Nothobranchius furzeri: one gene and its partners. The protein of the gene in region 6 purifies or fractionates together with the protein of the main gene of each other region. This does not show direct contact. Links are inferred from orthologs where the notes say so. Each region holds a gene or a part of one and is shown on either strand. Other genes may lie near its edges. The genes, in order: rad52, cdc45, cdk7, zufsp, prpf19, rpa2 and hltf.

The links.
Region 1: the proteins of rpa2 (region 6) and rad52 purify together in Homo sapiens (affinity purification with western blotting; 3 studies listed by BioGRID and IntAct, with this or other methods). This does not show direct contact. The link is inferred for Nothobranchius furzeri from reciprocal best matches to the Homo sapiens genes RPA2 and RAD52.
Region 2: the proteins of rpa2 (region 6) and cdc45 purify together in Homo sapiens (affinity purification with western blotting; 3 studies listed by BioGRID and IntAct, with this or other methods). This does not show direct contact. The link is inferred for Nothobranchius furzeri from reciprocal best matches to the Homo sapiens genes RPA2 and CDC45.
Region 3: the proteins of rpa2 (region 6) and cdk7 purify together in Homo sapiens (affinity purification with mass spectrometry; 3 studies listed by BioGRID and IntAct, with this or other methods). This does not show direct contact. The link is inferred for Nothobranchius furzeri from reciprocal best matches to the Homo sapiens genes RPA2 and CDK7.
Region 4: the proteins of rpa2 (region 6) and zufsp purify together in Homo sapiens (affinity purification with western blotting; 3 studies listed by BioGRID, with this or other methods). This does not show direct contact. The link is inferred for Nothobranchius furzeri from reciprocal best matches to the Homo sapiens genes RPA2 and ZUP1.
Region 5: the proteins of rpa2 (region 6) and prpf19 purify together in Homo sapiens (affinity purification with western blotting; 4 studies listed by BioGRID, with this or other methods). This does not show direct contact. The link is inferred for Nothobranchius furzeri from reciprocal best matches to the Homo sapiens genes RPA2 and PRPF19.
Region 7: the proteins of rpa2 (region 6) and hltf purify together in Homo sapiens (affinity purification with mass spectrometry, with the first as the bait; 3 studies listed by BioGRID). This does not show direct contact. The link is inferred for Nothobranchius furzeri from reciprocal best matches to the Homo sapiens genes RPA2 and HLTF.

What each region holds. Positions count from the first base shown.
Region 1 is NC_091744.1:73,170,775-73,174,768, forward strand, and holds the start of rad52 (DNA repair protein RAD52 homolog), read right to left. Parts: upstream 2,801-3,994; 5' UTR 2,661-2,800; intron 2,367-2,660; exon of another isoform or gene 2,144-2,366; intron 2,054-2,143; 5' UTR 2,039-2,053; coding exon 1,985-2,038; intron 1,831-1,984; coding exon 1,729-1,830; intron 1,548-1,728; coding exon 1,454-1,547; intron 1,311-1,453; coding exon 1,243-1,310; intron 1,142-1,242; coding exon 1,023-1,141; intron 934-1,022; coding exon 858-933; intron 774-857; coding exon 556-773; intron 472-555; coding exon 290-471; intron 1-289. UniProt on the Homo sapiens protein: Involved in double-stranded break repair. Plays a central role in genetic recombination and DNA repair by promoting the annealing of complementary single-stranded DNA and by stimulation of the RAD51 recombinase.
Region 2 is NC_091757.1:55,446,234-55,449,733, reverse strand, and holds part of cdc45 (cell division control protein 45 homolog), read right to left. Parts: coding exon 3,487-3,500; intron 1,381-3,486; coding exon 1,216-1,380; intron 1,121-1,215; coding exon 982-1,120; intron 910-981; coding exon 826-909; intron 7-825; coding exon 1-6. UniProt on the Homo sapiens protein: Required for initiation of chromosomal DNA replication. Core component of CDC45-MCM-GINS (CMG) helicase, the molecular machine that unwinds template DNA during replication, and around which the replisome is built.
Region 3 is NC_091757.1:44,652,888-44,656,969, forward strand, and holds the start of cdk7 (cyclin-dependent kinase 7), read right to left. Parts: upstream 2,801-4,082; 5' UTR 2,750-2,800; coding exon 2,684-2,749; intron 2,462-2,683; coding exon 2,402-2,461; intron 2,323-2,401; coding exon 2,289-2,322; intron 2,206-2,288; coding exon 2,138-2,205; intron 1,932-2,137; coding exon 1,863-1,931; intron 423-1,862; coding exon 312-422; intron 215-311; coding exon 96-214; intron 1-95. UniProt on the Homo sapiens protein: Serine/threonine kinase involved in cell cycle control and in RNA polymerase II-mediated RNA transcription. Cyclin-dependent kinases (CDKs) are activated by the binding to a cyclin and mediate the progression through the cell cycle.
Region 4 is NC_091745.1:58,608,992-58,612,956, reverse strand, and holds the start of zufsp (zinc finger-containing ubiquitin peptidase 1), read left to right. Parts: upstream 1-1,165; 5' UTR 1,166-1,198; intron 1,199-1,792; exon of another isoform or gene 1,793-1,905; intron 1,906-1,985; coding exon of another isoform or gene 1,986-2,034; exon of another isoform or gene 2,035-2,238; intron 2,239-2,256; exon of another isoform or gene 2,257-2,471; intron 2,472-2,610; exon of another isoform or gene 2,611-2,715; intron 2,716-3,280; exon of another isoform or gene 3,281-3,299; intron 3,300-3,373; 5' UTR 3,374-3,382; coding exon 3,383-3,839; intron 3,840-3,965. Other genes in the region: kpna5 (importin subunit alpha-6), read right to left, coding at 89-183, 409-508, 760-861, 1,032-1,165, 1,986-2,034. UniProt on the Homo sapiens protein: Deubiquitinase with endodeubiquitinase activity that specifically interacts with and cleaves 'Lys-63'-linked long polyubiquitin chains. Shows only weak activity against 'Lys-11' and 'Lys-48'-linked chains.
Region 5 is NC_091741.1:94,861,653-94,865,583, forward strand, and holds the start of prpf19 (pre-mRNA-processing factor 19), read right to left. Parts: upstream 2,801-3,931; 5' UTR 2,668-2,800; coding exon 2,649-2,667; intron 2,455-2,648; coding exon 2,305-2,454; intron 1,791-2,304; coding exon 1,714-1,790; intron 1,428-1,713; coding exon 1,286-1,427; intron 1,145-1,285; coding exon 1,071-1,144; intron 985-1,070; coding exon 919-984; intron 823-918; coding exon 781-822; intron 676-780; coding exon 601-675; intron 515-600; coding exon 439-514; intron 339-438; coding exon 229-338; intron 140-228; coding exon 1-139. UniProt on the Homo sapiens protein: Ubiquitin-protein ligase which is a core component of several complexes mainly involved pre-mRNA splicing and DNA repair. Required for pre-mRNA splicing as component of the spliceosome.
Region 6 is NC_091745.1:71,983,799-71,987,867, forward strand, and holds the start of rpa2 (replication protein A 32 kDa subunit), read left to right. Parts: upstream 1-1,269; 5' UTR 1,270-1,397; coding exon 1,398-1,410; intron 1,411-1,632; coding exon 1,633-1,718; intron 1,719-1,925; coding exon 1,926-2,027; intron 2,028-2,206; coding exon 2,207-2,320; intron 2,321-3,674; coding exon 3,675-3,749; intron 3,750-4,007; coding exon 4,008-4,069. UniProt on the Homo sapiens protein: As part of the heterotrimeric replication protein A complex (RPA/RP-A), binds and stabilizes single-stranded DNA intermediates that form during DNA replication or upon DNA stress.
Region 7 is NC_091758.1:23,582,358-23,586,553, forward strand, and holds the start of hltf (helicase-like transcription factor), read right to left. Parts: upstream 2,801-4,196; 5' UTR 2,691-2,800; intron 2,485-2,690; 5' UTR 2,483-2,484; coding exon 2,285-2,482; intron 1-2,284. UniProt on the Homo sapiens protein: Has both helicase and E3 ubiquitin ligase activities. Possesses intrinsic ATP-dependent nucleosome-remodeling activity; This activity may be required for transcriptional activation or repression of specific target promoters.

The DNA of each region.
Region 1 (3,994 bases), on a different chromosome or scaffold from region 6:
ACTAGCCACACGCTTGATTTTATAAAAATGGAATGATTCTATCCCTCCATCACAACACCACTGGATCACAGACGGTTATGCAAAATGTTAAACTGGAAAAAATCAGATGTACACTCGATGGCACCATCAATTAATGCCACGAAACCTGGGACCCTTTAAGAACCTATGTTGATAATCTACCGGGCTAACCTGGACCTTTGATCGCTTCCACCTGCCCCATATCAGTCTTGTAACTACTAAAGTTTAGTGCACTTTTTTTGGTGTTCAATGTTAAACATGAAACTTTTACCTCCGGAGGATTTACGTCTAACAGCGACCTCTGCCTCTTCAGAGTTTTCCTGTTTCTGTTGCAGCTTCTTTGCCTCCATCTCTCTCCTGAACTTCTGCTGAAGCTGCTGCTGTCGGAGCTTCCTCAGCTGTTTGGGGTCCGTGTGTGCTTCAGAGACGACATCGACAGAGTTCACGGCATATCTTAGAGGAGAGGAGAAAAGCAGCTATGGTGGATGACCACTTGTAAAAGAGAGAAGCAGATTGAGAGCCGTTTGTAATGTTTACTTGATGTTCTCATTCACCCCGCTGGGAGCAAAGCCAGCAGCTCCAGGGGTGTGAACTTCTGAATGGTTCTGGTAGAATAATCTGGGCTCTAGTGGCATTCGGGCAGGTCCGGCTTTTAAAAGTGAATCTTCCTGGACCAGACTGAAGAGCCGAGCCTTCTCTACTGATGGCTGACCGTCGCACCGTTTAGTCTGGGTCGGGTCAGGAGGAGGAGGAGGCTTTGTGTAGAAGAAGTCAAGTTTTAGAAAATTTTATGGATTTGAATAATCCAATTTAACAAAAAACCTAAATTGCCGACTGACCTGTTTTGGGATCTTGTTTATGGCGAGGAGGTAATCTTTATTTAGGATGCAGTTTCCAAGGGCATTACCAAAACATCTCAACATGAGAAATAATATTTTTGAAGAGTTACACAAATTTCTCGCATGAATCAAAGTTACTAAATATAAATCTGTAAAGGTCTTTACCTCAGTGCTCTCTTCATTCCATCTGTGACAGCTTCCTTTCTCGCCTTTTCTAGGGACAGAGCTTTGGACCTCAGCCCCTCACTCACTCCGTATCCCACATCCTCATGAAACGACCCATCCTAGGAAAGAAAAAACACCAGTTACACTTTACTTCGATTACCTGTAGAGGCTCACAGGAAACTGGAGCTGATGATTAATATTGATGAGACTGTGAGTCAACCTTCAGCTGCACTTTGACAAACGCACTGACTCCTACATTAAACTTCCCATTGATCAGGTCCACAAAGTCTGGAAAAGAAAAAAAGAAGTCATTTTTATAACACGTTAAAACGTAAAATATTTGAAGGATCCATGTGCAAATGATTATTTCTGACTGTTTTTCAGCAAGTAATAGTTTTTAGGCACTTGTTGCAAATGCAGATGAGTCGTACCAACATTCTGCTGGGAAATGGAATGCGACCATCCATTGTATCCAAACATCTCATTGGCCAGGCTGACAACACGGTGGCCTTCAATGTAACACACCTGTTTAAAACAACACTATTAGATCATTACAATACCTTTTTAATGATCAGTAAATTCAAATCCCATCAGGAGACTTGGGTTTTGTGCTGAGACATGTTTTCTGCTCAAGCTCTGAATCTCAAGCTTCATGAATGAAACCAGGCGTCTCACGTTTTTGTCACAAAGTAAAAGAAACACTTGCTTTTTGTCCCCCTCCAGCCACTCTGGAACTGATGTACTCTGGTCCAAGTTTCTGTTGCAGGGCATTTTGCACCGCCTGGTACTCCTCAGCTGTGTAGGTGCACTGAAAAAGTCAAACAAATTCATCTGACAAAACCTGAGCATCTGTGGGATTAAAACACTCATTATTTATTAATCTAATATTATAATTTAAGTGTAATTCGATTGAAAATTCATCTAAAATAGTTTCGAGTTCTGCAATTGTTTGATTTATTTACCTGTCCGAAGTGCCTGGATGACGTTGGGATGCATCCCTCGTTGCTGCTCGTCATAGCTGTGCAGACATACTGAAACACACATAGAGCAAAACGAAACAGTAACACTCATTAGTGTCTTCTAGGCTTTTGAAACAACATTTAACAAAACAAATGCTTTACTTAAACATAGAAGTGACTCGTTGGGTTTAAGCTTTAGTCTTCGTAACTAGCTCAACCTAGCTAAAAGCTGCTAATAAAAAAACGAGTAAACGTAAACTCACTGCTTTAAATCCAATAAATGTGGTGTTTACGTCAAATTAGCACGAAGGTGTTAGCTAGTTTAAATTTACAAGCAACTTCCCGCTTGGCTCACCGGAAGAGGCGGAGCCTCGTGCTGCCTTCCTGACAATCGGAAAATTAACCCTTCAACATTTCTGCAGAGACACCATTACCTTTTTAATAACAGAATGAGAGGTATTTTTTCCTAACGATTCCGGAGAAAATGTATCAACATAAATAGTAACAAAATAAAGTTGAAGTTAGAAACGAAACGTAGTGATAGTAGTATTCAAAGTCCCACAGTCATCACACAGTGGTGGCGATCTCCGCATTTGACCCATCCAGTGGGAAGCGGCATTATTTGGTGGTTTAACCCATATATATATATAATGAATAACATAAATGGAAACCGTGTTACCTTGCTCGGACGTGGGTCACCGGGGCCCTCCTCTGGAGCCAGGCCTGGAAGTGGGACACGTTGGCGAGTGCCTGGTGGCCGGGTTTTCACCCATGGAGCTGGCCGGGCACAGCCCAGAGAGGAAACGTGGGTCCCCCTTACCTGGGCTCACTACTCGTGGGAGAGGCCAAAGGGGTCAGGTGCAGTGTGTGACGGGTGGTTGTCGAGGGCGGGGACCTTGGCGGTCTGATCCTTGGTTACAGAAGCTGGCTCTTGGCACATGGAATGTCACCTCTCTGGTAGAGAAGGAGCCTGAGGTGGTTTTTGAGGTGGAGAGGTTCCAACTAGATATAGTCGGACTCACCTCAATGCATGGCTCTGGCTCCGTAACCAGTTTCCTTGAGAGGGGTTGGACTTTCTACCACTCTGGAGTTGCTCACACACACACACACACACACACACACACACACACATGTGTGTGTATATATATATATATATATATATATATATATATATATATATATATATATATATATATGCTGTTATATGCTGTTATTGGTTTAAACCCCCCCAATCCAACCCCTTAATGCTGGGTGTCAAGCAGGGAGGCACTGGGTCCCATTTTTTACCCTCCCACTGTCTTTATGGGTGACCCTGCGAGGAAAGTTGACCATTGAGCAGGATTGATGGTTTATCCCTTGGGCCCATGTGGCAAGGGTGAGGGCAGCGGGAGGGTTAAAGACCCAGGCAGACACTCTACTAGGCCGAGAAGGTAGTAGTAGTAGTAGTAATAGTAGTAGTAGTAGTATCGCTCTGAATTAAGTTAATTTTGTTTCTAGATTAGACAATAATTTGGATTTCTGTTGGACATTTTAAAATGTGATTTTAGTTATTTTAGTATTTTTTTTACATCTTTTTTATTATGGTGAACCATAATGTTTGTGTATGTTTACGGTTCCTGGGTCTCTGTTGTCGTTACATCACATTTTAAAATATGAAATACTTTCGCATCCCTTCAAAGTTTCATTTTTAATTCCAGTAATACAATTTTTTTAAAACATTTTTATTTACATTCTGGATAATTCTATCACGGGTTTCCAGCTTCAGAAACACGGCCACTAGCTGTATTCAACGGATCTATGAATTCTGCTCTATAAGAAAAATCCTGAAAGAAAATATCCGCCATTGAGCTTAAACAAGCTGTTTTGGTAAACTAAAACAAATCTGCACAGGCCAAAGATCCCCCATAGCGATGATCTGCAGTTATTCCATGCTTAATTCAGTCACTTAACGTTTCACAAATAAAATTATGAATTTTAAAATTCATTATTTTATTTGATTGTTTTTAAATTACT
Region 2 (3,500 bases), on a different chromosome or scaffold from region 6:
TCTCGTCTAAATGACCAGAATGCAGAGCGCCCAGATGAATGTTATTACCGTATTTTCCGGACTATAAGCCGCTACTTTTTTCCCACGCAGCTTATAATGAGGTGCGGCTTTACTGAAGATTTGCCTTCGCCTGCCGAAACAGTGCTGCTGCACGTAAGCTTGGCATGAATGAATGCGTGGTTCGGCGCTGGAGGCGGCAGCGGGAAGAACTCAGTCGATGTAAAAAATTTAAAAAAACGACACAAGCTTTCAGAGGAAATAAAAGCAGATGGCCGGAATTGGAAAACATTCTTGAAGACTGGGTGAACACACAAAGGGCAGACGGCCAGGGTGTTTCCACTGTGCAGATCATTAGTAACCAGGCGTGTTTTGTGTGCAGTTTTTATTTTCTAATCATCCAGGGCTTATTAATGCTGCGTCAGCGCTGTTCTTTTCTTCTAAACATGCAAATTACCGGTAATAACGTGTCAGTGCTGTTTTTATTTTATAACATCCAGAAGTATGAATGCTATCAGCGCTGTTTTCTTTTCTAAACTTGCAGGCACGTTCACCCGTGGTTAAAATTCGTTTTGTTGAATTAAAACGACAACGAAAAACCTCCGTGCAGCGTCTTTCTGTCTAATTATCTTATGTTATGGCCGAACATGCGCTGTGCGCCGGAGACCTGCATGTGGCTGCTGCGCCGCGGCTTGTATTCGAGTGCGGCGTGTGTGTAGAAAACCTTTTTTTTTTATTGGTGCGGCTTATATTGAGGTGCGCTCTATAGTCCGGAAATTACGGTAATATTGGCGAGTTGCCAGTATATTTAATCAGATGCATACTTACTGAGTGGACAAAAGCCTTCAGCAGGTACTTGCAGAGCAGAGTTAGGGCCAGGGGCTTAGAAAACAGCTTCACATCAGGTGTTCCCTAAATATCAGGGGATTTATCCGTGACGCTGTGCTGCTGATCAGAGACGTCATGAGACATGCGGACACTTACCTCCATGAGGTAACAGTAGAGGAAGGGTCCCTGTGACAGGATGAGGTTGGTACAGATGCAGCTGGCCACGGTCTGCTGGATGGCAAGAAGCTTCCTCTTAGCATGATCGATGCCAACATGGAGACGATCCAGGTTGCCCCTACGGATAAGAACCAGATCAAGTAGGCCTCAACTTTTTCTAAATACTACCGAGACCATGAAGAATTTAGGATGTTGACAGTTTCTTCTTCGCACCTTGAAAGGGAATCAAGAGCTTTGATGAAGTTGTGGGCAATATCGCTCTCTTCTTTCTCCGTGCTCTCCAGCAAGGCAGCGGTTGCATGTACCATGTCGCTAGCCAGGAAACGGTTCTGAAAGCCAAAGTGAACGCCGAACGTCTGGATCCGAATTTCCTTCATTCTGATGAAAAAACAAACAAGACTCTGACTTGACATCTGATAATGAATCATTAAATACCTCATCTGTTAAACCGACCCTATAAGGGGTTTTCCATTACCAGAACTGCAGAGTAAATGCAACAAGGGGGAAATTGACTGGAAGACCCAAAGGCCCGGTGTTGGTACCAGATCGGCTCAGGGTCCTGCCTCTACAGTAGATGACTGGCTGAACGTAAGGCTTACGGAAGTTACGATACCACATTTGTAAAAGTTACGTTAGCACGTCAACAATGAGGACTTTGGTGTTGATTTGCTGTAGTCTTAGCGGTTGTAGTCGTTGTAGTCTTAGCGGTTGTAGTCGTTGTAGTCTTAGCGGTTGTAGTCTTAGCGGCTGCAGTCTGAGCGGTTGCAGTCTTAGCGGTTGTAGTCTTAGCGGTTGTAGTCGTTGTAGTCTTAGCGGTTGCAGTCTTAGTGGTTGTAGTCTTAGCGGTTGTAGTCTTAGCGGTTGTAGTCGTTGTAGTCTTAGCGGTTGCAGTCTTAGTGGTTGTAGTCTTAGCGGTTGTAGTCGTTGTAGTCTTAGCGATTGCAGTCTTAGCGGTTGTAGTCTTAGCGGTTGTAGTCGTTGTAGTCTTAGCGGTTGTAGTCTTAGCGGTTGTAGTCTTAGCAGTTGTAGTCTTAGCGGTTGCAGTCTTAGCGGTTGCAGTCTTAGCGGTTGTAGTCTTAGCGGTTATAGTCGTTGTAGTCTTAGCGGTTGTAGTCTTAGCGGTTGTAGTCTTAGCAGTTGTAGTCTTAGCGGTTGCAGTCTTAGCGGCTGTAGTCTTAGCGGTTGTAGTCATTGTAGTCTTAGCGGTTGCAGTCTTAGCGGTTGCAGTCTTTGCGGTTGCAGTCTTAGCGCCTGCAGTCTTAGCGGCTATAGTCTTAGCGGTTGTAGTCCTGTGGTCCAAAAATTAACACTTTTCAGAGAAAATATGTTTGAATTTCCAGAGGAAATGTAAAATAAAAGCAAAGATATCAACTGATAAACGGCGACCCCCAAAAGCTCTCGATTTCGATGAAATGGGGCAAATAAAATATAAGAACTTTCTTGAAAAGACACCAAGTAACATTTTGAATGAATGAATGTGTTTACATAACAACGATGGAAATATACAGACGAATTCCACATTACCGTATTTTCCGGACTATAAGCCGCTACTTTTTTCCCACGCTTTGAACCGTGCGGCTTATAATGAGGTGCGGCTTTACTGAAGATTTTCCTTCACCTGCCACCAGGAGGCGCTTTAGCAGGAAGTGAAACAGGTGGAAGTCAAAAGTGGAAATCGAAGAAAGTGCTCATTTTAATTTAGCACATGCAAGCAGCCGGCATGACGAAGATTTTTTTTCAAATCCATACCCCCTCATCATGGTAACTACACATATGAGTTCATATGATGCCGCATTTAAGTTGAAGGCCATCGATGTGGCAGTAAAGGAGGGAAACAGTGCTGCCGCACGTAAGCTTGGCATGAATGAATCCATGGTTCGGCGCTGGAGACGGCAGCGGGAAGAACTCATTCAAGCCAGCTTCACCCGGGGATGATGACAGCAACACGGACAGCGACACCGACATCACCACAGAAAAGGTACGTGACGAAGCTCTTCTGAGGCTGTTCAACTCCGACACTGAAGAAGAGGACTTGTTGGGAGGTTCCTGTAAATTTACCCTGAAGTTTCGGTAATGGAAACACACCTTATGTTATATTTGTTGGGGGTGTTAACGTCAACTTCACAAGAGTCTATTAATTTAAAATAAACATTTATAAGAATTTTAACCATATCTTCATCTGCTGATTTTCTAAAAGACAAAATCCTGACTAAATTTTATGTGAACATGTTTTAAATATCTCTTCATGTACACATATGTATATTTAACTGGTGATTTACCAACAGTTCTTCCTTTTTCCACATCAAAAACTACCTCTATGCAATTATTTTTGTAAAGCGCCATATGTGGCTCACCTGTTCCTGCTGCTAAAATTACTCATCATAGGGAAGGTGGCTTTATAAGAGCTTAGTCTTAACCGCTGCTGAATCACACCATGTCAGAGATAAAAAGCAAAGGAAGCGTTGAACAAGTCCGCATCCATACCCAAATTTATTAGA
Region 3 (4,082 bases), on a different chromosome or scaffold from region 6:
TGTTTGATCTTTAGTGTAGAGGTGAGAAATTCTATTTTGTAAAATTAGATTAAAGCCAACAAAACGATCGTTGTCATTACTGCAGCGGCTCTGACCTGGTAACAACTTGATGAGTGTAGATTCTGTTGGGGCTTCCAAAAGCTTTGGCCAATCCAAAATCAGCCAACTTCAACACTCCGTTACTGTCTAGCAGCAGATTGTTGGGCTTCAAATCCTGAACGTATAAAGGAAAAAAGAAGCAATAATTCTAAATAATAAATCACCTCTGTGCATTTGCAGAATACGACAGAGTGGTGTTTAGGTGCTCGTACCCTATGTAGGACCCAATGTTGGTGCATGTACTCTAATCCTTGTAATGTCATGAGGATGTAGGCTTTAATATTGGCTGGAGTCAAGACTAGGCTTGTGTCTTTGATGATAACCTGAAAAAATAAAACGCACACAAAAAAATCTAAGCAAAACAACAAAAAATATGCTTATCTGACCCACACAAGGAAGCTTTAGAGAACTGAGATCAGACCAAACAGCTTCACTTTAACTACTCGACAAATCCCCAAAATGTCCGTAAAACTAAACATCTGTAGCTGATAGTTTAAACATTAACTGACTGAACCTAAAAATGTTTACAACATTATTGAAAAAGAATAGCCTCATAATTCACACATGCCTCCCCTAACTGCTGCCTGCCAGCTGCTAATGGCATAAATGTATTTGAGCCAAGAAGAGAGTGATATTGATTATTTGGAAGCACTTTTGTCTTTTTATTGCATCAGTAAAGTCTAATGTGTCTGAGGTGTGCGTCCGTCTGGAGTCTTGCACGTTAAAACGGAATGAAAAAGGAGAATGGGAGCATGAAAGAATAATTTTACTTTCATTTTAGTTGCTCCTTTTGTAAAGACATTTGATCTTGCAGCACACATCCTTATGTTACACGTTTCTCCCTAAACAAAACCTTAAACATCACAAATGTTCTTTATTTAATTCCAAAATTAAAAAGTCATTGAGGGAATGATTACTAGTGGTCCACAAATGCAAAAAAAAAAAAAAAAAAAAAAAAAAGAAGAAGAACGAATTTAACCCGACACAACACATGTATATACAATTTTATAATACCATGATTATTGTCTTTTTAATCAAAATTAGACCACAATTCTGTAAAGAAGTCACTTTCATTACTTACTCATTTGTATAAAAAAGTGCAATCATAACCACCTTTTCACCAAAATCCTGGGGAATGTTTAACTGAATCAATTTTTAAAGACTTTTTTGTTCTTTAAACCCTCAACCAAAAATTAAGCCTTAAATGGGAGAGCTATTTTACACGCTGATTGCTTATGATACTTGGATATACAGAACTAAAGTTAATTTAACCCTAACCCGACTTAGTGAAGACCATTTAATAGTACTTAAATTACAGGGGAAAAAAATCTAGTGCAAATATAAAAACAAGCTGTATGAATGTTCTATTACAGTGGTTCCCAACCTTCTTTCCATGGGGACCCACTTGCCTGTATCCAAGATGAGCCAGAACCCCCAACCACAACTTCTTCCAGCATCCACACATTAAAAATGATTAATTAAAAACTTTACACAGACATACAGATATTTGATTATACATTTGGGTGTGTCATTTGGATTTTAGAAATGTAATTCTTACAAAAACTACCTTGGTATTCTCACAACCTGAGCACAGACACATTTGTGGGGACCTCCAGCAATCCTGAGCAGGCCCCCATGGGGGGTCCCAGACCCTAGGTTGGAAACCACTGTTCTATTATATTAATGCGGAACTTCATCATATTCAGAAGTAATAATATCAGAGGGATAATTGTGCATATAATCAAAAACAGGAGGCAACTCACCTCCAGGTCTGTTTCCATAAAATCAAACACCAGGCTGATGTTTGATTTATGTCCAAATGCATCCAACAGCTACAACACATAGCACAGTAAATAACCAACACTGCATTTAAAAGAAACAAATTAATAACACGAGAATACCAAGATGCCTGATCAAACACACAGTGCCTCTTAAACGTTCAGACACACATCTACCCAAATTAAATAATTAGGTTGATTTTTCCAGATGTTTTACTGGAAATGTAGAGGACATAAATGCATGAACATAGTTTGAGTACCCCAATGATATTTGGATGATGCAGCTCCTGTAGCAGTTTGATTTCCCTGAGAGCAGTCCGATTTACACCTGCAAGAAAAGAACATTTATTTTCAATAAGATACAGCACGAGTGTTTGGTATGTGTGGGGCACAGGTGTGACTATGACTTACCATCTTTAGCTTCAGTTTTGTGACCAACTTTTATCTGAAAACAAGCAGATAATCAAATTTAACCCCGAACACCACAGTGTCCGATTAAAGCAGAAACTTCACTTTTTTTGTACCTTTTTGATGGCAACTATTGTGTCTGTCAGTTTGTCTCTGGCTTTGTAGACTGTGGCAAACTGAAGAGATGAAAGAAAGGTTATTAAAGGAGAGCATACAACGCGCTGAATGCTTTTAGAGCTAGTGTGATCACACCGAAGCTGCTGGGGCTTTGTTGACATTAGCTACCAGCTAACGCTTGTTATCAAGTTACTGAAAACGTTAAACAACAAAGCAAAAATAATAAAAGTGAGCGAAACGAAGAGTAGATATCGAAAACTTTGAAATAATTCTCTGCCTACCTGACCCTCTCCGAGAAAATCCAGTTTCTCGTATCGTTTCGCTCTGATTTTTACATCAAGCGCCATGGTAGCTAGCAGTAAGCTATCTTTTGGTCTGGTTAAAGGGCCAGAAAACTTCTTCCGGGGCAAAGGTGTCAGGCTTTAAAACTGAGCAACTGCGCCATCTACTGGTCAGGCTAAAACAATTTAATGTCAAAAGATGTGCAATTTTTTGGTTGAAAGAACACGTTCAGAATGATTTAAAATATAAACAGTTATTTAATACAAACTATGTAGGAATTGTTGTGACTTGTTCAGTCCCAATTAATGTCACCTAACTAAAAATCAAAATGTATTTCACCCTTTATTTAATCTTTTATTATTTTAAAATAAAGGATGAAATACATGTTTCTGATTTAGAGGAAAGACAACACAAATCTCATGGCAATTTGCCATTTTCCATTTGTTTTTTTTCATCCACCAGTTTTGACACTGGTCTCCTGGGAGCCTGTTCTGTCAGTTAGGAAGTTTTTGTGATCCATGCACCACTGAGCACATCTCTACATCCCATCACCATTCACTGTAAGATACCATAACATCCCACAGGATTAGGCACGGCTCCTTTGACCTTACTTGTCTTCTGTCTCAAATGCCCAAATTCTCACCCGTCAACACACACACACATTCAGAACACTCACCACTGACTTTCATTTTAATGTTAAGTTTGACAAGAGGAGTGTGAAGGATCAGCATGCCTAATACACCCCTCACCCCCCTCAGATGTATGCACATTCATGGTCTGACAGCTCACAGATGTGACTGACAGTATGTGGCTGTGCAGCAGAGAAGAGAGCAGTCTAGCCACACTTCAGTCCTTGCTGCCATCACATCATCAACTTTTCAGGACACAAATGCTGGCTTTGGTGTAGAAGAACTCTTATGGGTCTTGTATGAACCATTGTTTATTGCTCTGTCAAATACTTAGAATAACTGTTAAAAATTCAGCTTATTGTTTGTATCTGACCTTGCATAATGTGCAGTTTGTGCTAAATATCTAAGAAAACGGACAAGTGGAGGTCAAAAACAGAAACAATCCTGTCTTTAAAGACTGAGTCAAATCCAGCAAAGTCTTGACTGAGATGTAGATGATCCTACTGTTGATCATTGACTGCGTGTCAGGTTGGGACCACAAGCTTTTCCAGAATCACCTTGTTGGGATTAAAATTCTGATTTAATTAACAGATCAATACATTTAACAGGAAATTAATCAAACTTTGTGTTTTTGGACAGTCTGCTGGTATCTAAGAGTCTAAAGATGAAATTTTAGGGATGTTTGATATCACTTTTTCTGCCAATATCTGATAAAACGTAAGTCAGCTTCTTAATTTCCAATAACAATTTAAACCACACCAATAAACGC
Region 4 (3,965 bases), about 13 Mb from region 6:
TCATCTTTATCTTGTTGCGTCAGAGCTTGTCGGGTGATGCTGACCTTCAGAATGACAGCGAGTCAGGAGAAGAGCGTAAAGTTCTCACCTGCAGAGTCGAGTTCTCATTTTTCTTCAGAAACTCAACAAAGCGAGGAACAACATCAGGAGAGGAAATGACCTCGTCGATGGGTGGGTTGGGCTCTGTGCCAAAGAAACAGAAACAGTGAGGTAAATTGTGCACTAATGGCATAAGAGTGGACCTTTATTCTACAACAACATAACATGTTAAATCTATCTACTGGTTTTATTCCAGTAGATATGGGCCCAGTTTGTGCGTTTTTAAGCAGTCTCCACACTTATGCTGCAGACCTCAGCAGCATCATCTATGGAGCACAGAGAGGAATGGTGGAAATGTGGGATACCAACCTTTTGAGAGTAATTTCCTGAACTTCTGCGTAGCGATTAGCTGCTGATCCGGGTCTTCAGAGAAGATCATCTGAATCATGTCTGGTGTTATGACCACATCCTGAACAAACACAATGTTAGATACAGACCCAGCATGGATGTATGCAGCATTAACGCTCATGTTGTGTCTCCGTTGTTTGATGTGAGCCACGTTAGATCGATGGGATAAATTCATTCCGTTACAGAATTAGGTGGATTTTATTTTCCAGACTTCACTCTGGAAATCTTCATTTGGGGCAAAATTACAAAAATGTGAGTCCTGAACCAACCTGACATGTGGTTGTGGGATGTTTTTATTTGACCAACACTTACGCCTGTGACAGGTACTGTGGAGCTGATGTCGGGATCCTGGATCGGACAGTCCAGCATCGACTCATCAGCTGAAGGTACAGACACGTTCCTCCTTTTGAAGAGCTGTTTCAGATGAATCACATAACTTTGTTACCAAGCTTCTAGCATATCAACAAACCACAAAACACCCTCATCAGCCTCTCTAACATAATCCTGAATGATGCACAGCTCCAAGGTACCATTGGCCAAAGCTAGTTTTAAACATGAAAGCGTAAGTGAGCCAGAGTGTTTACCTGCTCTTCTCTTTTTTGTTTACGCAGCTGAATTCCTTCCTCCTCTCTCCTTCGACGCATTTCCTGAGAATTCAACGCTTTGTTCTTGTAGCTCTTCATCCTATAGTTGTCTTTCTTTGGGCTCGCCATCATGTCTGAAGAGTTCAACACAAGAACAAACTGAGGATGTAAGATTATAATTTTCATGATACAACACTGGATTCATACTTAAAAGCAGTGTATTCATTCTTTCAGAATTTACAGAAAGATTTGCTGCATTTCTTTGATTTGGTGCAATTCAAACTCTGACTGCTAGGTGACAGCAGTTTCTACTTTCTTCATTCTGACCAAACAAGATCTCACCAAACACTGGATGGGTCTTGGAGCGCCTGACCTGAGTTTTCTAACTAAATTCAGCCTTAAAAACAGTAAATGTAAAACTCATCAGTTTTAAATGGATCTGGGACCAGTGTGAGGAACCTGACAGCAAGTGGAGGAAACAGGACGCCATTGTCCAAATCCAAACATCTAGAATTACTGAGATAAAGAAATTGAACCAACTTGAGCTGACTTTTTAGGGGCAACCTAACCTCACTATAACCATAAATAACTTGGGTGACAAGTCTGCTGCCTCCTCAAAGTGGAAACACAAATCTGTTGTCTGACTGCAAAACACGAACCCAAAACCCTCCTCCAGTTCACCTGGTGTGTTAACTGTAAACGCCACTCTAATGGCTGATCCTGGTTCAGAGAAAACCCCAGCTGTCAGTTAATGAACCCACCCTGAAACTGGTGTCCGATCAGCTGGGTTTCAGAGCTAACCAGTGAATCCAGTTCAAATCTGCTGTTTCATGATGGATTCGTTCAATCTGTCCTGACCATCAGACGGACCTAATATAAACGGTTTAATATCAGAAACACAACAGGAAGCTAAACATCTTTATTGTTTAGACGTGACCGTTTCATTTAACTTACAGATCAGCGCCAGACTAGCTAAACGTGTCCCGATGGTTAAAGTAAACATTACACTGAACAAGACCGGAAATTAAACTATTTAAACAGAAAAACCAGTCTGAACTAGTGACACCACCAGACTATAAACACCGCTCCACCGTGTGTGGTGGTTTAGCCTAACTAACAAGCTCCGCTAGCTTCATAGCAAGTTAACAGCTTGCGCTACGTCCCGTGAGAAAGCTGAACTCTGAGACCAAAACTCGCCACCACCCTCCCTCAGTCCCGGTCTCACCAGCGCATAAAGACAAAAACCAGGACAGCTGTTCTCACTCTTCTTAAACCAAAATGGCGTTCTGGTAAACAGTTTCCCAGAAACCCTCTCACGACAACAACAATGACGTCGTTTCCGCCAGCTGTAAAACCGCCCGCCAAACAGTTCTGCGTCAAGCTAGACTAATAATGTTTCTCTGTATAGGGTAAAAAATAAAACCAAACCACCATCCGTTAGTAAGTGAAGCCTTTCCATCTGAAACCTGTCTGCACGCATGCGCATAGGAAAAATGGTTTTAACTCACTTGCTATAGATTTGTGCCTTCATTATAGGACTTAACATCGGGACGCATGAATTGTTTTAGATTTATTTTGAAAATTTGTACGGAACCAGTTCATAGTGTCAAGGCCTTTAAAGCGCAATGACGTAAAGCAAAGCTGTGTTGGAGTCAGTCTCCTTTGGGTTGATGTATTGTTATTAGTAAGTAAATTTTCTGTTTTTATTCGAGACTAACATTCGCTGCTGGATCCTACCCGGTGTGTGTGTGTGTGTGTGTGTGTGTGTGTGTGTGTGTGTGTGTGTGTGTGTGTGTGTGTGTGTGTGTGTGTGTGTGTGTGTGTGTGTGTGTGTGTGTGTGTGTGTGTGTGTGTGTGTGCGTGCGTGTGTGTGTGTGTGTGTGTCAGAAAAACAGCGTTACTAGAACATTCAGCGGAAATTGGACCTGCTTTCAACTGACTTGTTATCTGACTTCAAACTGGAACTTGCAAAATTCAAATTCAAACCGTCATAAAAGCTTCATGTGTTGTTGAACTCTTTCATTCATTTCATGAACCTGACCTGGTCACGTGTTGACAGCTTCTCTCATATCTCAGATTGAGATCAGGTGACGAACAGCAGACTAGCATTCTGATGGTGTTCCAGAAGTATTCTGGTTACATAGGTGGATAAGAGTAGTTATTAAATCCGAAGTTTAGATATTTACCTGATATTTACATGTATATGTTCAGATCCCATTCCTGAATGACTGTTCAGTTTGTGTGCAAGGCTTACCACGTTCAGAGACTGTAAATCAATCTTTTAATCTGGCATTTGCAAGGCTTCTGCTGTATTAGAGCTTAATACTAACCTTTGTCTGCAGGTGGCGGCCATGCTGACCTGTGAAATCTGCGGAGAAGAACTGATGTTGGAGGAGGACATGAAGACGCATCTCCTTCTCAGTCACCTAGAAAATGACATGCACTGTCCACTATGTTCCCTGGCTGGAGTTTCCTTTAACGAACTCAGTTTCCACATATCAACTGCACATCCTGAAGAGCACACAAATGCCACATGCTTTTCAGGTTCCTCCAAAACAAAAAACGTTGCTATAAGTGACAGAAGGATGGCCCAAACATCAAAGTCCTTTGCATCTGGAAACAGCTGTGATTCATCTGGTGAAGCAATAACCAGCAGAGTCCATGCAGACTCAGGACAAACAGGAAAGAATAACTCACCACATGCTGAGAGTTTTTGGTTAAAGGCACGTTTAAAAGAATCGTGTCCTAAACCCTCCACCAGCTGCTGTAAGGAGACCGTCACTGGAAACAAATCTGATCACACCAAAGGTGAGCTGCTGCAGCCGTCCGTATCAGGAAGAGCTACAGTTGGGCAAAAAAGTATTTTTCAGCCATTGTTATGCAAAATGTCCCACTTACAAAAGATGAGAGGTCTGTAATCTACATTAATGTTTC
Region 5 (3,931 bases), on a different chromosome or scaffold from region 6:
TGAGCAGGTAGTCTCCAGTAGCATGAAGGGACAGACCGGTGACGCTGGCTTCGTGGGCACGCACCACCTGGATGCAGTTGCCCCCGGTAACAGACCACACACGGATGGTGGCATCAGGAGAGGCAGAGAAGACCATAGACTAGAGGGGAGAACACGTCAGAGAGAAGGATCACACCTGGCACGTTCCTTCAGTTATCAATAAAAGACCCCCAACGGACAAAGACTCACCTGAGATGGATGGAAAATGACAGAGGTGACCTTTTTGGTGTGGCCTTTAAGAGTCGCCACAATCTGCTCCTCGTTCTTGTCAAACACCACCACACTCTTATCAGCTCCACCTGGAGGACGACAACACAGTCAGCGTTGGACTAAATCGGCCCCGAGCGGGTGATTCGACACAACGCCAAATCAAATAGGACAGAGTTAAGCTCAGAGTACCAGTGAGCACTTTGCTGGTGTCTGAGGGACACACGTCCAGGGACAGAATACCAGGCACACTGGCGCTGTGAAGACCCTGAAGCAAACAGGAAACAAGTCCACCAGATGAAGCACATTCAGTCGTTTATAGGACCATCTTCATCATCCTGGTTCTGCACTTACAGCGTGGGAGGCCACTTGGCGGTACTTGCTGAGATCCTCGGCTCTAACCAGCTCCTCTGGAACAGTTTTTCCCCTCTACAGAAGCACAAGGAACTTTTTAAATCACACACAATCACAAGATATAAAAACTTTACCTTCCGTTGGAAGTTATAACTATAACAAGGAAAAAATGCTACAAACCTTTTTCCTCTCTGTGGTGAGAATAGTAGCCTTGTCTTGCAGCTGGAATGATCAAACAGATTAAATTGTTTAAATAAAATGAAATATGAGCTTATAATAAAATAATAAAATTCTGTGGACATAAAAAAAGTGTTTTACCTTCTGGATGATCTCTGGAGTCATTCCCACCTGTTCACTGATCTCCATAGGCTCTCCACCAGCACCCTGCAATACAAATGTGAATATTTTATACAAGAGGACTAAAACTACCAAGAGCTGAGGGTTAAAACAGTTAGGCATGGGTCACTCACTGCTGCAGCAGGCTGAGAGGCGGGGGCGGCCTGAGGGGTCACCAGTCCAGCTTGAGGTTTAAGTGTGGCCAGAGCTGCAAAAACAAAATAAACACATTTAGGACATTTTAAACGTGCTTATGTTCCCATTTAACAAATAAACCTTTGAAATAACACGCCAAGTGGCTATTAACATTTTAGAAACACCAAGATGTGTCTTCTTAGGACATACAGACCTTCTCTTGCAGCCGTGACCTCCTTGTTGAGTCGAGCGATGACTCTGCAGGCTGCGTCGTGTTGATAAAGGGCGTGAGAGAGTTCCTGGCGAGTAGTCTGCAGTTGCTGCCGCAAGGTGAAGCTGTGAAGCATGACGGCATCCTGTAGGACGCATAAAAAAAACAACTCTTCCTGAGATTTGAAATTAATTTATTAGAAATGACAGCAATGTCTTTAATACTTGAGCTTACAAACCCCAAAATTACTTCAAAAGTTACGTAAAAGTGTCATATGTTGATCTATGTGTTTGACGAGTTTTCAGATTTATTTTTGTTCAAATAGCAGCTGTTGTGTGAAAAATAAAAGGGTGATTCCTGTTCTAAATAGTCAACAATAACACACAGGTGTGAGGTGGACGAGTGTCCTCCTGACCGTTTCCATCACTCACCCACTCATCTTGAAGAGACTTGAGAATAGCTGGGATGCTTGTTGCTGATGGCGCCTTTGGTCTGATGGGGTGGGTCACTAAGCGGGAAGACATTTTCCAAACCAGGAAAAATTCAGTCAAACCTTTTTAAGTTAAATATGTTATTTCAGTGTGCAACTGGATTGAACTGGTACAGTTTATTGAAAGGCCCAGACTTATCAGAGTGTTACTAATAATAAATTAAAACCATTATTTTAAAATTACGACTCAATTAAAAATAAAATAAATGAAAGATCAGATGGCCATGATCATTTCAGTTAAAAACGACGCAAGACAAAAAGTTTAGTTATTTACCTTTATTATAATAAACTGTATTTTTAATTTTGATCCCTTTTGATGCCTGGATTAATAATCGGTTAGCCTTAGGTTAAATAATCTGTCCCAAACAACCACTTCAGTGTGAATAACTCAGCATTTCATGTTTATCATGTTAAACAGGCTTTAATACAATGCGAATTTCAAACTCGTCGTTTACTCATTAATTCATTCGTAGTGTCCAAAAATATCAAGTTAATCAAACTTAAATAAAGTCAAATCGAGGGTGTAGTTCACCTTTGATGTCCACTAGCTGCTCCTCGGACAGCGGCTGTCCGTTCATCGGGTCCGTCCCATTCTCGGCGATGTACTTCTCTATCAGCCTCCGCTCAAACACATGATTGGACACCGGGGAGATGCACGGGTGCTCCGGCACCTCGTTGCAAACTACAAACAAACAAAAGGAGAGGGCGCATAACGCTCACAACTCAGTAAAAACAAAGAAAAAAAAGAGAATGGAGGGAAACTGAAGTTAAATACGGTTTGCGTGGCCGCTAATGTTAGCTTCATTAGCTTGTAGCATTAGCATGATACCGAGCTAACTCACAGGCGCCGTCCTGCAAATTTTCATCTTCACTTACTTGCACAAACCAAAGACATGTTCCAAACGCAGTCCTAACAGTGCCCTCCTAAACGTAGACTGTGTTTTTTGGCGTCTTGAATTTCCCCCCGCTTGTGAACACTTATATTTAGTTCAAACTGGAGATAGCACGCTGTCCTTTCATTGCCGCTATAAAGGAACTGCTTCCTTTTTCTTCGTCGCTGGTTTCCGCCAACAATCAAACCGCACTCATTTCAGTCTGCACTGCCCTCCACCGCTTAAAACACACCACTGCACTCTTGAAAATCTTACAGGGGTCTGCAACCAGCAGTGCAAGTGGCTCTTTAGATAAAAATTATTTTAAAAAGCACATTTTTAACATAGACATATTAAAAATTGTTGGTTAAAGCAGCTTTTCGGGTTTTATGGAATAACTACATTGAATATCCACATCAAAATGAAACTACAATTACCATTTGACATAATTTTCCACAAATATCAACATCCCAGAGAAAAATCTCCATTCTACGTTTGCCAAAGTATTTTTTTTATCATTTTAAAATTGACTAATGGAAACAAATGTTGGATATTTTTAAATGACAGCAAATCTAATAGTTCCTTATTGAAGAAGGCACAAATATTTCTTGCTTTAATCTCAGAATTCTCCCATTAATGTCAAGACATCTGAGCAAAAAAAAAAAAAAAAAAAAGAAGATAACTTTCCTCTACGTTAAACCTCCAACATAGATTTTTATCATAAATGGCGTTTTTCCTGAACGTCCTCTAACAGTTGAGGCTCTGAACAATTATTGGGATGGACTGAGAGAAAAACGGCCGTTTGGATTGTAAAGAATGCAGACCCATGCTCAAGCAGATTTCTCTATAGTCAAAGAATAGATAATATGAGGCGTTTGTGTTAAATATACATTTTATTGTTTTAGAGACAACCTTCTGATAGTCAATAATGAATTACATTAGTGATGCTATAATATGTTCCCAGATTTACAGGCTGTTGCCCTATAATAGGTTACATTTCTACAATTGTCTAGAGGGTAATAACACTACACCTGCAAAATAACTTTAACTGCAAGACAGATATTTATAATATTTTTTGCAGCAGTCAGGAATGAACAGGATGATTATGCACTTTAGTTTATGCTATAATAATGTGGCATTTTAATAATTTTCTCTTGCAAACCTTAGAGTAACTATGTTGACGTTTATGCAGACCTAGGGATCATAGAAGGCCAATGAACACTTGAGACACCCGGCAAAGACAGTGCAGATCATGTTGGTCCTGAGGGTCTGGAGGTAGGTAACAGC
Region 6 (4,069 bases):
TAAAGGTGCATTATGTAGAAATGAAGTAAAAACAACATCCTGTGGGAGAATTAGTTTACTGCAACCTCTTTAAACAACTGGACCTTTTTGCCGGCTATCGTCAAATTACAACTGTCGGCGCTGCAGTATTAGCTCGCAGGAGACACGGCAACCCCACACTCACTGATGGTAAACAGTAGTTACACCCCTCCTTCCTTATTTGTTTTGAAAGAAGAAAAAACTGACAATCCCCGTAGCTGAGATGTTCTCATTGTAAAATTTTCACTATATTCTTACATACTGCACCTTTAAACCAAAATCAAAAGAGTAGCTCACATTTGATTGATATAAAATGAATAAACTTAAAGTTTCTACAATACTGGCTGCCACAAAAATAAAATTAACATCAGGCCGTGTGGACTAATGACAATGCAAAGTGTATTTATGCACAGGCGACGCTGTAAAAGGGTTTATACTAGTAATGGCACCTCAGGGGCAAATTCCTCCATAGATTATTTTTATGTCTTCTAAATATAAACCAGTTAGTTTCCTGTCGGGAAACTGAAGCCAAATGAACCCACATGTGGTCATAAACAACTCTTAGAGCTTTTATGAATTCCAACATACTTTTAAGTGTTTCATTACAAGAAAAATACAAGTAAAGTTGAGACTGGTGCTGCTTTCTTTTCATACACGGGATCTATTACTGCAACACCTTTTGATTTGCCAGTCAATTGCATTGCTTTGAAATAATTAACAATCAATATCAATAATATTATTATATACATGCAAGACTGTTTATTTAGAACCTGCCCTGTTAACGTTGAAACAGTTTATTTGATTCAATTATTATTTCTTAAAATATAGACGTAAAAATTTTAGGGTCAGTTCATAACTTAAAATTACTTAGTTTGTGCTTTCATTTATTGTAGAAGCACAATAATATTTGTATTTGTCAAAATAAAAAAAAATTGTAAGAAAGATTTTCCGTGTGCATTTTGTCTTTTACGACAGTCATTGAATGCAACTAATGTGCTATGCAACCTGCCTAAAATATTCCCCGTATTTTGACGTCAGGTGGAAAAGCATAAAAAAACAAAAATGTCTTCTTTTAGTTACACACATTATGCTATTTTACGGAAATACATTTTTACAAGGATTATATTAGTTATTATTTTTATAGAAATGAGTCGACAAAACGTTGAAAAAAATTCCTGTGAAACAAAGCTCAGGGCTAAATGTACCTTAGTTGTTACGAGTTCGCGGGACTTATACTGTGCGCATGCGTTGTACATTGAGTTTAGCGCGCGAGTTTACTTAAGGAGAGATACTGCGTAGCTACATTGGGATACTAGGCCGTTTCGGAAGTTTTAAAACATTTGCACACCTTTTTAATACGTTATTTACGCGGTGGCACCATGTGGAATCAGGGTGAGTTGAATGCAGACTCGGTTATTTGTGTTTAAAAATCAGTAAAGGCACGTAGATGTCTGTTTGAGGCTAACGTTAGCAAGACTTTGGCAGTCAACGTTCGCTTACCTCATGAGGTTAACGCTAATGCTATTACACCGAGTTGTGTATGTTACCCAAGTACGTTTTACTTCGAATAATCGCTCCTGTTTACTGTAGTCTAATTGTTTTTTGATCTTTCAGGAGGCTACAGCGAGTCTGGAGTGGACGGGGGATACACTCAGTCTCCTGGAGGATTTGTTGCATCCCAGGGAGGAGAGAAGAAAGGGGTCAGTTGTAGTCTTGTTATAGCCAGATTTTAATCCAAGACAAACCTGACTCACGCCCAAATTGATTAAAAAATAAGTGCTAGGTTACACTTTTTCTCCTACATTCATTTTACAATCCAATGGATCAATATCACATACTCAGATATTTGTAGATTATGCAAGATTAAATGTTGATAGACTAAAAATTGTATGATTTTTTTTCACCAGAGAACGCGTGCCACACAAATCATCCCCTGCACAGTGTCTCAGCTGATGTCCGCCTCACAAGCAGACGAGGCCTTCAAAGTGGGAGATGTGGAGGTTACCCAGGTAAGCTGAACCAAGGCAAAGTGTACATGTGACAGCATTCAGTTAGAAAGAAGTAGAAAGTCCCTACATAATGGTACTGTAATAATAATGAAATAGTGATGGCATAATTTTGTCAGGTTACACTAAAATAAATGTTAAAATGATGAATAGTAGTAATTTGCTTTATCTTTGTGTTATAGGTCACCATTGTGGGCATCATCAGGAGTACAGACAAGTCTATGACCAATATCCAGTACAAGGTTGATGATATGACTTGTGCACCGATGGATGTGAAGCAGTGGGTGGACACTGAGGTGGGTGATTAAACTGTTTAGTGATTTTTTTTTACTAGTTAAGATTGGGTCCATTTCCTAAAGTCCAAGTCCACAAGGTTGACCGATATTGTTTTTCTATTACCGATATGTAGGAGACACTGTAAGCAAATGGTTGATATCTAGATGTTTTCCACCTTACTTTCCTGCTAAAATGTCACAACATCAGTTAATGCACAAATTTTCTGAAGCTGAATCAGTTTGTGAACTCTAAATTTAACTTACTGTTGAATCTTTACTTTGTGCACTCTCATTTTAAAGTCAGACACCTAAATAAAGTTAGTTTAGAATATTTATTATGCAGATGTTATTAGTGAATGTAAAAATACATTCAAAGTAATTTTCTCCAACAGCACCGGGCTGTTCAAATCAGCTTTACTAAGGACAAATATCGGTCAATACCGAAGTATAAACGCTGGTAAATATCGGCCGAACGATTTATCGGTCTACCCCTTCCCCAAAGTTAGGACCAGATTTTTTTGTGAAAACAGAAATTTAATTAAAAATAATTATGTTTTCTCTAACGAGATAGAAGGAGGATTGCTGTACTGATGCTAGTCAGTGACTCGATGCAACCTGCTGTGTTCCTTATATAGGAGCATTTTCACTGATTGGCTTAATGAACTGACCTGTATCGTAATGTTTACTTTGTGAAGTGCCTTGAGACGACTCGTTATTTGGCATTGTATAAATGAACTTAACAAAATTGAATTAATGTTCTTTTTTGTCATATTAAAGAGCAAGTTCACTGAGAAACCATTTTTCCTAATTACGTTTTAAAGGATCGGTCACTCAGAGTTTAACATGCGGGCTTAACGTGAAAACAGTCTCCTACCCCTATTTCCTGCATTTACGTTTGATAGAAAAAATGAAGAAAAACAAAGTTTGGTTCACAAAAGCCTAACAGATCTATGTCACACTGTCACTTAACATTCATGGACTCGCCTATCTCATGACGGGGAAGGCTGTTGTTAGTTAAGCATCCAGGAGAGGACAGAGCGTGTCTCGTTAGCATTAGCAACTCGACAAGATGGCAGAACTCCTTCAGGTTTGTGCTATATGTGGAGATAAAACGCAGAGCAGAGTCAGTGGTAGAGCTGTGTTGCTGTTAGCCAATCAGAGGATAGATGTCCAAATATTAGGAAATAAGACTCCAAATCCTACCTACGTAATAAAACAGGAGCATCTGAGCTTTTTTCCTCAGAGAATGACTTACAAGGCATGGATTCCTACTACAGACCACTGCAAATGTATTAAATATGAGTAAATTTGACTTTTAATATAAAAAGTTTACACAAAGGTGTGATTTTTGAATTATGTTCACCTGTGTGTGCAGGACCCGAGCGTCGACAGCGGCGTGCTGCCTCCAGGAACATATGTCAAAATCTCGGGAAATCTGCGATCTTTTCAGGTGAGTTTAGTTTTACAAACGTCTGTTTTTCCCCTGAAGTAAACAAAAACTGTTTTTAAAACATCAACATTTCTGCTGCTCCAGGCAAGAATAAGATTAGACAAACAAAACTCATTGTTTATGATGATTGTGAAAATGTGAAAATGTTTTCATGACTACAATAAGTACACAGCCATTAATCCCATGGCTGTGTACTTATTGTAGTTCCTCTGTGGAATCATCCTTGAAGAAACTGAAGCTGTTTGTTTCCCGTGTCAGAACCACAGGTCTGTCGTGGCGTTCCGCATCCGGCCCCTAGAGGACATGAATGAAATCACCTC
Region 7 (4,196 bases), on a different chromosome or scaffold from region 6:
ACGTGTCTGAGCAGAACCTCCCTGAACCGTCTAAAGGTGGTTCAGAACGCCTGTGCTCGGCTTCTGACCAAGTCCTCCAAACACACCCACATCACCCCGTTTCTCCTCCAGCTTCACTGGCTGCCAGTCAACTTCAGGGTTCATTTCAAGATCCTGGTTCTGGTCTATAGGGCCTTACATGGACAAGCACCATCTTAAGCCGGGCGTACACTGTGCGACTTTTTCACTCGTAGCACTCAGCTTCAGCTCAAACTGTACGACTTCCTCCCAGAGCAGATCTCACGAGTCATGCGCTCACACTGCACGACCCAGTTCTCGGACGCAATCTGACTGCTCACACTGTACGTCTGGTAGCAACACATCTGCCCTAAAAGTATGCTAAAAATAGCAGTTTTTACTCAGCACGTCAGACTTTTTGGTCTTGTTTTGCCTGTTGTCCTTCGGGAGTGCTGCAGGAGGACACACAGGGATTTATGGGGGTTGGATGAGGAAAACGAAATAAAGAAAGTAAATCTGTGTTTTGTGATCAGTTTAATTTGACATGAACACGACAAACACGCTTTCTTGACAATCTTTGTGAGTAAAAAAAAACGTGTAGAAATAAAAACAAACAACGTGTGTTATTAGGGAAATAGCGAGCGAGCGGTGTTGATGCAGGATTGCGCATGCGCCGTGAGCGGTTCTGATACATTTTGGGTCGCAGCTGCTCGCAGCGCCGCTTCAACAGTGCGATACCCTCACGAGGGACGAGCGAAATATTAAACACGCCAGAAGTCCATGCGACCTCACGACTGCTGATCGGTAGCTGGTCACGTGGTGTTAATCGCCTCTCGTAACCCCCTGTACACTACACGACGCTCGGCGCAAAACTCGTCCCGATCTCGTGGATTCTCGCACGACTGGAAAATCGGCTCAAAAAAGTGAAAAAGTCGCACAGTGTACACCCGGCTTTACATTGGTGACCTTCTTAGTCCCTACACCCCCAGCAGGTCCCTGAGGTCCAGTGATCGTGCAACGCACCAGGCTAAAGACCAAAGGTGTCAGATCATTTGCTGCTGTGGCCCCCAGACTCTGGACCTCTCTCCCTGAGCCTGAGATCAGTGGACTCAGTGGTCTCCTTTAAAATCAATCAATCAATCAAAGCTTTATTTATAAAGCGCCTTCCGCATCCCTGTCAGGAAGCCCAAGGCGCTGAACACTGTACAGTACAAAGTCAAATAAAGTGAATAAATCTGAAAATAAAAGCAATTCAAATTACAGATTACAAATTACAAAAAAATTTAAATAAATAAATAGCAGCTGAAGACTCACCTGTTCAAGCAGGCTTTTGTAAGACCTTTTTCACCACTCTCTCCTTATTCTGCTCTCCCCACCTATTCCGCCTTCCTCAGGATCCACTGATTTCCCTCTTTCCTTTTCACACTATCTCTTTCTTAACGTGTCTGAAACCTGAAAGTTCTCTTTCTTAACATTTTTTAATCACAATTGCCTATTTTTGCTCATTTTAATATATTTTTCAACATTTTCTAAATGCCTTTTTATATTTTTTTGTTTTTGTGAAGCGCCTCGCAATTTTTAACATGAGAGGCGCTATAGAAATGATATTTTCTTCTTCTTCTTTCTCATTATCCCATTCCACCCACAGACAGTCCCCTTTCAACTGCAGAGTACCAGATGGAGACACTCTCTTCACACCTCAGCAACAATGGCTCCGTTGTCTCCTCTCCCTGCAATCCTCTCTGAATCTAGTAAATATCAACAGGTGATTCAAGCAGCTGAACCCCTGCAGTGCAGCTGGAGAGGACTTTGTCCACCCTGAATCACTATGCTAATCAACTGTCTACAGTGGTCCTGCTTGAACTCCACGATCATCTCAGTCTTCCAAAATCCTGGACTCAAGAAATGTAGTAACCCCAGTAAATGTAGTAAGATGTTGCTGTACATTTGGTTCTGCATGCAGACCCAACAGTTCAATGGGTGATGAAATCACCATTGGTTTTTAGGAATTTAGCTCCATGTTTAGCACAGTGGCAGAAGATGAGCTTTTGTAGCTGGCGAAGACGGATCACCAAGGTCCTGACCAGCAGGAATCAGTGGGTGAGAAGGGGGGGGGGTTAATCTCCAACTTGTTTATAACTGAGTTTATAAACCAAAAGTTAGTCCAGAAATTCAACCTAAAATCACAGGGCTGGTACACAAACTCAAAATAATGAAAGCTCAGTAAATATTCATAGTAATAATTTAATTTCATAATAATCAGTATAGTGACTGATTGGTTACTCACCACCCCAGTGTAATATCTGAGCCCGACCACAGTCCCCTTCAGGTTCCCAAACAGCACGCATCCATCTGCATCTGGTTCCTCGGCTCTAGCAGCTCTGATGATCTGGGACAGAGTATCTGTCTGGGTCTCTGAGGGCTCTGAGAAGAGGTCCACATCATCGAACGGCCCCCAACCGAACCCCCACCGGCGAAAAGACATACCTGTGTCCATAAATTAAAATAAACACATCAATAACCGCCACTTTTATCATTTTGCCACGCAAAACAACCACTCTGGCAGGCCGAAGCACTGTTAGCTTAATCATCTGAGTTTAAATAAATCTACAGAAACAAGCAGCCTGCGCATGAAGAACAATAATCAAAATTTAACAATGTTTTTGTGACGCCCACAAAGTGTGGTCACATACCGCCAAGTTCTTGCTGCCAGCCCTGATGAGAGAAGTTCCGCGCGAGTGTTTTCGCTTATTTTCATCTGAGCCAATACCAGTCCAGTCCAGTAAATCTGCGACTTCCGTTTAAAATTTTCAAAATAAAATTGCTAGGTTAAGTAGTAGACATCTTTGAGATCTACTACTTTTGATTTTGACATCTGACATTTTTTTAACAAACAAAATTAATATTCAGTAAAAATTTGTTAAATAAATAATTTGGAAAAAAGCAACAAACCGTGCTTTGTTTCTAGTTTTCTAACATTTTGATCCCGAAAATCCTAAACGTTTTGCTTTTCGCAGCGTGCTGCGCAGAAGTGATGCGTAGAGCAGTGCTACGGAAGCCGTGAGGGTCTCACTTCTCGCTTCAATAAAGTTCCGCTTCCTCGCTGCTAGGTTCCTTCCCGAACCGAACATCCGTGACTGGGAGTACCAGGGAGGAACGAGACACACAAATGAGGCGGTGTGTGCTTAAAAACCGCACCGATTTTTACACTCGTTGTGCTTCTTTTGAAACCTCAGAAAATCTGGACGTTAAACGGACTCGAGACAGACAGACAGAAACAAAGCTGAGGTGCTGCTTTATCGGTTGACAGCTACTACTGGTGAGTTTACATTTGATTTCTCTGCGAAAGTCAATTAATAATCAGTCCCATTGAGACATACGTGCTTCTTTAACATGGTTTCCATTATTTTAAAGCAATTTATGAAAACAAATAAGCAAAACCAAAACACCTTGTTTAGAAATGCAAAACCTCACTCAGCTAAACTCTTTTTGTGATTAACTTATAGGAAGTAAACAGGATGCGTCATTGTAATAGATTAAGTCCAATGAATCACCCTATTACACATTCGTATAGCCTTTATAACACAGTTTCACAATATATGTGTCATTAAGAATAATCTAATTGTATGCTAAAACGTAGAATTGATTAAATTGGTTATTTTAAATATATCTGGCATAAAATAAAATGTCCATCATTATCCCATGATCATTGAAGCAGTGTGTGGCTCAAACTGCAGCTTTAAATCATTACCACAATCTGTGCCTGTGATTTCCCCATCTAGAGGGTTTGTCCTAGCCTGGCAAGCCAGACTAAATAAATGTATTATTTAAACTTTGCAAAGCAAGAATTTGGTCTAGTTCACTAGGCTAGTTTTGTCCTGCAGCTGCAACAAATATAACACCTCAGCGTGAGTCCTCAGGCTGCTTTTGTACCCAGGTTCTTCAGATTCTGCAAGTCCTCCTGTGTTTGTGGTTCACTTGCTGATATCCAGTAAGGAGGTAATCATCCAGAGACTCTGCATGCACTCACACAGTGCAGCAAATGCATGTTTGCACATCTGGTTTAGGTGATTGGTTTATTTCTGTGACCAGGAGATGGAAGTGGGTCGTGTGTCATGACTCCTTCCAGGAAGTCGTCCACAGAATATCCTTTTATAGAAGTCGAAACACAAAAGGCTTGTTGTCCACTTCCTGTAAAC